Chlamydomonas reinhardtii: one gene and its partner. The protein of the gene in region 2 binds, or shares a complex with, the protein of the main gene of each other region. Links are inferred from orthologs where the notes say so. Each region holds a gene or a part of one and is shown on either strand. Other genes may lie near its edges.

Region 1 (3,826 bases), about 1.8 Mb from region 2:
GATAAGCCTGAGCGTGGACCGGCGTGGGGGCAATCGGCGTTGGCGTAGTGAGGAGCAGATAGGTTCTCGTGTATGCAGGCAGTGTGGCAGTGCGGCAGTCCGCACACGGGCTGTGGATGTAGGTGTGAACGCTGTGCCAACGAGACTGAAACTACGTAGGATTCGGGCTAGACCTAAGAGGACCATTCGGGGGAATAGGGGTCGGGACAGAATTTCGCAAGCGCAGGCAGGCATTTTCGCTTTCTTGCAATTCGGGTGTTAGCGGGTAGACATGGATGAGACGAATGGGGTATCTAGCGGGTAGAACTGGATTATGTGCGTATGATGGCATCACCATAGAGGCAAGAGTAGCCTCTGCAAAACTGTAGCAGGCTAGATGCACTAGTGCAGTGGAGTGAGGCATGTGATGCAAGGCAGGTGCTGCGCCCGGTTTTGGTTCGTTGCCGCCGGGGCTGGGGCCAGCGCCCGTTTGTGCTGCGACACGTTGTTACATGAGGACTGGCATTGTCTGTGTCGGTCTGCTCCTGCATTCATATGCGGTTATGCGCGGTGCCGGCGGTGGTGGGCATTACTTGCCGGTGCGGTCTGAGACTGTGTCGCCGCCTAACTGCTTACTGGACTCCCACATATACTTCAGTTCGGCGCGCAGCACTACCCCTATCCATCCTGCAGACACGGAGTCGGTCAGAAAGCAGAAGTACAGATCCCGCCAAGGAGCGTAGGACCCGCCGCCAACCAAGCGCATTCTATCCCACCTGAACGCTCGCTTGACAATCGACACCATGTACTCCGACCACATAATCTTACTCCTCCAGCAATAACCCCACAGCCCCGCTACGCCCTTGTCTTCCTAGTCATGCGGCCGGTCCAGCGGCGCGGGCCGTATCGCCGCCGCCAGCCGGTCCAGGCTCTTCTCGATGCGCGCCCGCAGCCCCGGCTCGCCGCACACCACCTTGCCCGCCCGGTAGTCCACAGCGGCCTCCACGCCGTCCACGTCCAGCCGCACCAGGCCGCCCGCCTCGTCCACCGCCGCCGGCCCGAACTGGCCGCGCAGCAGCGCGCCAATCAGGTGGAGCTCGGCGGCTGCGGCTGCGGCCTCGTCGCCGGCGGCGCGCGCCGCCAGCATGGCGGATTCGGCGCTGGTGGCCTCGGGCGGCTCGCCAATGGACTGTGTTGTAATGGGAACGGAGCGATGGGAAACTGCGGGCTCAGAGCGTGCTGGAGCAAACATGAAGTGACCCCAGATTGCAGGCGCCCTGCCCTCCATTGCCGTCCCATGCACCCGCTACATCCTCAACACCCGCCCACCACGCCTGGCACCCGGTGCCCATTCAAAAGCGCCCGCCAGCCCGCGATCGCGTCCTAGTCCGCCCCCTCACCTGCAGCACTACAGCCACCACCGCGTCCGCCACCATGTCGCCCTGCCGGCCTCCCTCCCACTCCAACACCACGTGCGACACCACGCCGCTCGCGTCGTCCGCCGGCACGTAGCGCACCGTCACCAGCTCGCCCACCACCACCGCCAGGCTCTCGCCACCCTTCACGAAGCATTGCGAAGCGGAGGACGACAAAGCGGGAGGGCAGAGTCAGTGTGAAGATGCGAGCAGGCTAGGGTGGGTACCTGAAGTACAGTCCTATTGCTCCACAGATCCACAGCTGTGTGAATGCCGCCAAACGGCATTTACGCAATCACAGCCTCACAGCCATATCTGCGCCCAGCCCCGCACCACACGCCTGCACCCACGCCTGCACCCAGCGCCACCCACACCCACCTTGCCGCCCTCCGCGTCCGGTGCCGTGGCCACGGGCAGCGTGCCGGCTCCCTCCACGCCCTCAAACATCACCTCCAGCGCCAACCGGATGGCGGTGAACGGCACGTCCACGCTGATGGCCTGGCGCTGCGTGACACTGCCCTTGAGCAGCTTGGTGTATCGCGGCAGGTCGGAGGGCGCCAGCAGCTGCGTGGCGAAGCCGCCGCCCTGCCGCACAAGCACGCCGCGCACGGCCGCGCCCTCACGCGGCGGCTTCTCGCCCAGGCGGCCCTGCAGCCGCACGCTGCGGTCGGGCTTGTGCTCCACCTGCAGCAGCGGGGCGTTGGCCGGGCGCATGCACACACATGAACAAACACATACATATTAACGAAGATGTACTAATATTGCATACATGATGAGGCCTAATACGGCCTGGTTGCTCAAATCTCGCCACACGCCCCCCCCATCACCCCCAATCCTGCCCCAGCCCCCGCCCCCAAACCACGCCCCTGCTACAGCCCACTCACCGCCACGGTCTGTGCCAGTATGGGTGTGTACACCTCGCGCGCCACCCCCGCCGCCTTGGCGCCGTCCTTGAGCGCCTTGGCCAGCTTGCGCATCTCGCCGTACTCGCCGTGCACCAGCACCACGTGCGGCGGCCGGACCGCGTCCAGGAAGCCGGACGTCTGGTCGTAGTCAGCGTGCGCGGAGAAGGAGATGTTGTGCACCGCGATGCGCAGCGGGACCTGGCGGCGGTGGACATGATTGGGGAGGCATTGCCGTTAGTACTGTGCAAGCCCGACGCCCAGGGCCGGAGCTAAGTGATGGGGCATTGGGGTCTTGCCCAGCGTTGCCGCACGCTAAGTACTGAACGAGCGCGTTGGCTAGGAGGGGGCGTTCGAGGTGGGCGGACCGGGCCCTGCCCCCGCGAGGTCTCGGGCCAGGCGGCACCCACCCTGCGGCCCTCCCGGGTGGTGATGGAGCTGGGGCCGCCCAGGATCTCCTTGGCCAGAGTGCCCTGCGGTGGAGAGGGCGGCAGCGGCGGCGGTGGTGAGCTAGGCATCGTGAGAGGTACGTATGGTACCGAATCATAAGTTATGCCGGCTGCAAGCGGCATGCCCGGAGCACCGTGACGGAAGCCTCTGTCCAGCACCCGTCCCCGTCCACTCCCTTAGGCCCTGGCACTGCACCCGCACAGACGCGCAGACGAACAAACACATAGACGTGAACGCCCCTGAGCACTACAGCGTGCACACCGACGCACGGACGCACACACACGCCCCTCCCTAAACTGACAGCCCGCCTCTCCTCACCTGCACCGCGAAGTCGCAGATGATGCAGGTGTTGCGGCTGTCCTCGCACCAGGCCTCAAAGAAGTCCCGGCTGGCGCCACTCTGCAGCCCCGAGGGCGTGGCCATGATGACGCAGGGGCCGCTGTAGTCGGAGATGAAGTGGGCGGGGTTCTTGAGCGTCTGCACATGCCGGAACTTGAAGGGGTTGCGCTCCTGAAGGGCCGCGACGGGACGCAGAGGGGCAAGGGAAAGGGGGTGGAGACATCGTTAGCGCGTGGAGCGGTCGGAGAGCGCTGGACGAGGGCAACAACTGCAACAGTAAGTACATAATGGGAAAACCGCTGCGGGGCTGTCAGCACGGGTTGGGCCAAGCCGCAGGCGCCGCATGTCGAGCTACCGGGCGCTGTCCCTCAAGGGGGCCCCAACCAGCCCCCTTGGCCCCCTTTGGCCCCGCCCCCCTTGGCCTCGCCGCTGCTCACGTGGAAGACCCTCTTGATGTCGTCGTTGAGTGACTCCACGTACGTCTGGTACACACCAAGTGCCTTGCTCATCATAGAGCTGGCCTGTGGGGCGGGTGGGTGGGGTCCATGCATACTACTTTGTACGACGATTTGGGGGGGGGGCCCGGCCGGAGAAGAGTGGAGGAGGTTCTGAAGGAGTAGGCGTTGCTACTGGGTGCGTTGTTGAGAAGCTAGGCAGCAAAGATTTAATACATGCCAGCCCTTGGGTGCCGCCAGCAGTCGGAGTGCGCATTGGTGAGCGCACAAGCGCACAAGCGCACAC
Region 2 (4,191 bases):
CTGGCGGCGTGTCAGTACCAAAGTGCAAGCCAGCCCAAGGCACCCTACCTACCTGCCTAAGCCGGCGGGCACACCTCCCGCGGCGCGGAGACAGTCATGCGCGGGTGGGTATACCCGGGATAGTGTGTTCGGTGTGCAGCACTGAATGCGCTTACGTCGGAGTCCTCACATGGAACTTGAAGGCTATGTGGCCACGCTATGTGGCCCAAAAGGCGCTTTACCAGAACCTTGGGGACTACCCGGAGGGCAGGCAGTGCCAGAATGCAGTGCCGTGGGTGGCGGTATGTCCGGACGAGTGCATGGCATGTCCGCATGTGCCTGCATCCGTCACCGCGTCACGTATTTCTAAGATGCCAGCACGTCCGCATGCTGACAGGCCTTGTCCGTGGTGTTCGTTCTGCCCCTTCCCACCAGGCGAGCGGCGCTGCCCGAAGCCCCACCCGCACCCGGCTGGGGCGTCGGGCGCCGCCGCTCCCCCGCTTGCATGACTGGCTCCTCGCCGGCTGTGAGGCCTGCCCGCTGGCGGCTGTGGGTGCTGGTGCTGGCTCAAGTGCTGATGCCTTCTATGCAACATATGAACTGCTGTGGGACTGGATGGCGTATGGCTGTGCCAGGCATTCTGCATGCGGGCACGTATGTAGTGAGTTGATGGCCGTGGTCGATGGGTGTGCGATGGAACAGTGCTAAGGCAGGTTGGTGAAGTTCCGTAGGGTGCAGCTGATTTCCAGATCCCAGCAGATGGCAGACAACTTGCAATTGCAGTGCAGGAGCGCGCGGAACGATGGGTGCTTGACATGGCACACGACTACCGGTGACAACAGGCCAACAGCTAAAAAGTTCCGTAGGGGCGTGTCCGCAGAGTGCGCGCGCACGCAGGCCATTATAGGTAGCCCTGACTGGCCCTGAGTTCCGGTGGAGGTTTGCATGAAAAGCACAGTGGCGATATCCTGAGGTGTGACGGGAGGCGCCCGGTGCGGTTCATGTTGAGGGCACGCTCAGCCGAACACATCCAAATGGTCGAGGTGCTGGAAAGGAGCAGGGTTGCGTTTGTTACCGCCGCTTCTCAGTGCGCCTCCTAGTATGATAGCCACACGGAAAACACGATGCCACAAAAGAAGCGGCTTGAAGTTGTTGGCGTGGCGTTCGAGCAATGTGAGGGCAGTCGCCGATTCAAGAATCCCGTCCTGTAACCTTGAAACGAGGGTCATATACTCCCACCCTGTGAGCATGTCAGCACACACCGGTCACCTATGTCAGCCATCGGTGAGATGTCAGCGCCCCGGCGCCAGGCCGAGACGACTTCAACACGGCGGGGAAGGGAGGGGAAAACCCGGCACGCTCCGGCCATCGCGCCACACTAAACGTTTGTCGCGGGGGCCATTGCGATGGTCATCACTTACAAGTTCAAAGCAAAGCATTTCAACACATATCTGCGTCAGCGAGCTGTGTCTTTTGCGCAAGTAGTTTTGCCAGGTTTCTTGCAGTGCTTGTTTACGCGATCCAGCACACTTTAGATGAGCATAATGTAGACAATTCATCGTTAAGACCTCATGACAATACAAACACACGAGCGCGCGGAAATGGGCGACGCGCCGGGAAGGTCGAGGCGCTGAACTATAGCCTAGCGAAAGCATGGAGACAGTTGTCAGGTACACGCCGCTATGCGGCGTTGGCGAGGACTCGCCGCTGTGCTCACTGTTAGAGATTGACGACTACACCATCCTCCTGGACTGCGGCTGGGACGACAGCTTTGATGTTGCGCTGCTGGACCCAGTGCTCAAGTGCGTATGTGTGGCTCAGGGGAACTTCAGGAGGGCGGGTGAACTGGAAGGGATGGGCAGGGGGAAGGGGCGTGGGGAAGGGGTAGAAAGGGCCAAGGGAAGGGGCGTGTCTTTGGAACTCTGCCCAAAGAGTCCCTGTGTCCGGCGTGTGCCGCCGCCTGCATCCCTTTCCGCCTCCACCGCCACCCCCTCCCACCCCTGTCCATCCCCATGCTCCCCGGCACTCTCCCGCCACCTCATCCTCTCCCTCACCACCACCCCACCAGGGTGCTCCCGCGCATCGACGCGGTGCTGCTGTCCCACCCCTCGCCCGCGCACCTGGGCTCACTGCCCTACCTGGTGGGCCGCTGCGGGCTGGCGGCGCCGGTGTTCTCCACCAAGCCCACTCGCCGCATGGGCGAGATGTTCATGTTCGAGGCGTGCCTGGCGCACCAGGTGGGGAGGGGGAGGGGGAGGGGGGGGGGTTGCGGAGGGCGAGAGGGGAGGAAGGGGAGAGGGGTAGGGGAGCGGGGTGCTGTGAGTGTGAGAGATGTTGAACGCGGGATAAAGGGGTTGCCGAGGGTGGGAGAATGGGAGAAAGGGCTGGGGGAGAGGTACAGGATGGCTGTAGGGGATTTGTTTGCACGATGCCTGTGAGCGTCCGGGTGAGTGTGGGCCACTGGGGCGGGTTGGGAGGTGCGAGCGTGTCAAGACAGCATGGGTGGTTGTGTCTGCGGGCGAGGCCGGGACAGACTGTGTGGTCGTCCAATCCCGCGCACGGGTCTCCATCCTCGTATCCCACGATCAAGGCCTTCCATGCGGTCAGCTTACCGCCCCCTTCCTTTCCCTTGCTGTTCATGCTTCCCCCCCTGCTGCAACGACCTGTCAACATCACCGCGTCTTGATCAATCATGCATGGAATCCCCCTCTTATCTAATCACTCCATTCGCCGCATGAACGGCTACCCCCTCCCTGGGAATCGTGGTATCCAGGCCGTGTCGGACTTCGCCGCATACGACCTAGACGACGTGGACGCCGGGTTCCGACTGCACCCCCGCTGGACCGAGCTGCGCTACAGCCAGAAGCACCTGCTACTGCCGCCCGCGGCGCCCGGTGCTACAGCCGGCGAGGCGGGCGCAGCGGGGGCGGCGGGCGGGGGTCAGGGGCCGGCGGGCGGCGGCATTGCCATCACGCCACTGCCTGCGGGCCGCTACCCGGGCGGTGCAGTGTGGCGGCTGACGCTGTTGGGCAGTGGGCAGGAGGTGGTGTATGCGGTGGACTTCAACCACCGCAAGGAGAGGTGAGGCGGCGGGATGGGGGCGGCGCGTGGGGAGGGGGGGGGAGGCATTGTCTGTCGCCATGCACTGTAAGCTGTAGAAGCAACGGAGAGAAGGGGAGGCAGCATGCGCAATAAAGCCGGGGGGGGAGCTCAGAGGCCTTGCCATCGGTGATGCGACGCTGACATGACGGTGCCCTATGCGTTGCGCCGCCGCCCACTCCCTCTCCCCCGCTGTGGGCTGCTTAGGCTTCTGGGCCCCGGTGACTCGGTGACGTGGGGATTGGAGTTGACTGCCGGCCTCTCCGCCACCCCCACCCCCCACAGGCTTCTGAACGAGACCACTTTCACCACCGCACTGGCGGCGCTGCAGCCGGCGCTGCTCATTGGCGACGCGGTGAACGGCCTGGCGCCGCCGGCCCCGCCCCGACACAAGCGGGATGAGGAGTTCCTGGGTGCGTGCGCGTCATGGCCGGGCGCGTTTGCCGTTTGTGTGCACGCTGGGGCGTTGCTGGGCGTTACTTCGTTGCTCGCTCGCGGGCCCATGGCTTGGGCAGTGGGAGTCGCGGTGGCTGGAACCCTCCCTGTGATGTATGCACTCCGTCTTGCATACGGCTCCCCCCTCCGCTAGTTTGGCTTCGTTTGGTTCAGTTTGAGCTGGTATTCACAACCCCCACCCACTACCACTTCCTTAACTCTTCAAGAATGTACCCCCCTCTTGGTGTGACAGACGCCATCACGGCCACGGTGGAGGGCGAGGGCAACGTGCTCATACCCACGGACGCGGCGGGGCGAGTGTTGGAGCTGGCGCTGCTGCTGGACGAGCACTTCGCGCGGGCCAGGTGCGTGTGTGTGCGCGTGTCATCACCTCTTTACTTCTTGTTTGCATGTGGAGGTATATGTATGTGTGTTTGTGTGTGTATATGTGCGACAAGGTGTTGGGGTCTCGCCTCGTCGACTCAGGAGTTTCGCAGATCGGGCACTGCCCCTTCCCACTCCCCACGTGGCGCCACCCACCCACAGGATTGCGGCCACGCCTGTGGTGTTGTCGTACACGATCAAGACGGTGCTGGAGTTCGCGCGGACGCAGCTCGAATACCTGGGCAGCGAGATGGTGCAGGTGTGTGTGCGTGTGTGTGTGTGTGTGTGTGTGTG

The links. The genes of interacting proteins can lie anywhere in the genome.
Region 1: CHLRE_12g487600v5 (region 2) and CHLRE_12g498050v5 share a complex: the UniProt entries of both Arabidopsis thaliana proteins name them as parts of the CPSF complex. The link is inferred for Chlamydomonas reinhardtii from reciprocal best matches to the Arabidopsis thaliana genes CPSF100 and CPSF73-I.

What each region holds. Positions count from the first base shown.
Region 1 is NC_057015.1:3,282,623-3,286,448, forward strand, and holds the end of CHLRE_12g498050v5 (uncharacterized protein), read right to left. Parts: intron 3,607-3,826; coding exon 3,523-3,606; intron 3,257-3,522; coding exon 3,065-3,256; intron 2,770-3,064; coding exon 2,707-2,769; intron 2,498-2,706; coding exon 2,279-2,497; intron 2,079-2,278; coding exon 1,773-2,078; intron 1,539-1,772; coding exon 1,380-1,538; intron 1,169-1,379; coding exon 851-1,168; 3' UTR 501-850; downstream 1-500. UniProt on the Arabidopsis thaliana protein: Component of the cleavage and polyadenylation specificity factor (CPSF) complex that play a key role in pre-mRNA 3'-end formation, recognizing the AAUAAA signal sequence and interacting with poly(A) polymerase and other factors to bring about cleavage and poly(A) addition.
Region 2 is NC_057015.1:1,470,844-1,475,034, forward strand, and holds the start of CHLRE_12g487600v5 (uncharacterized protein), read left to right. Parts: upstream 1-1,391; 5' UTR 1,392-1,632; coding exon 1,633-1,781; intron 1,782-2,047; coding exon 2,048-2,216; intron 2,217-2,752; coding exon 2,753-3,060; intron 3,061-3,363; coding exon 3,364-3,491; intron 3,492-3,766; coding exon 3,767-3,878; intron 3,879-4,059; coding exon 4,060-4,156; intron 4,157-4,191. Other genes in the region: CHLRE_12g487652v5 (uncharacterized protein), read left to right, coding at 1-104, 415-488. UniProt on the Arabidopsis thaliana protein: CPSF plays a key role in pre-mRNA 3'-end formation, recognizing the AAUAAA signal sequence and interacting with poly(A)polymerase and other factors to bring about cleavage and poly(A) addition. Required for antisense-RNA-mediated gene silencing.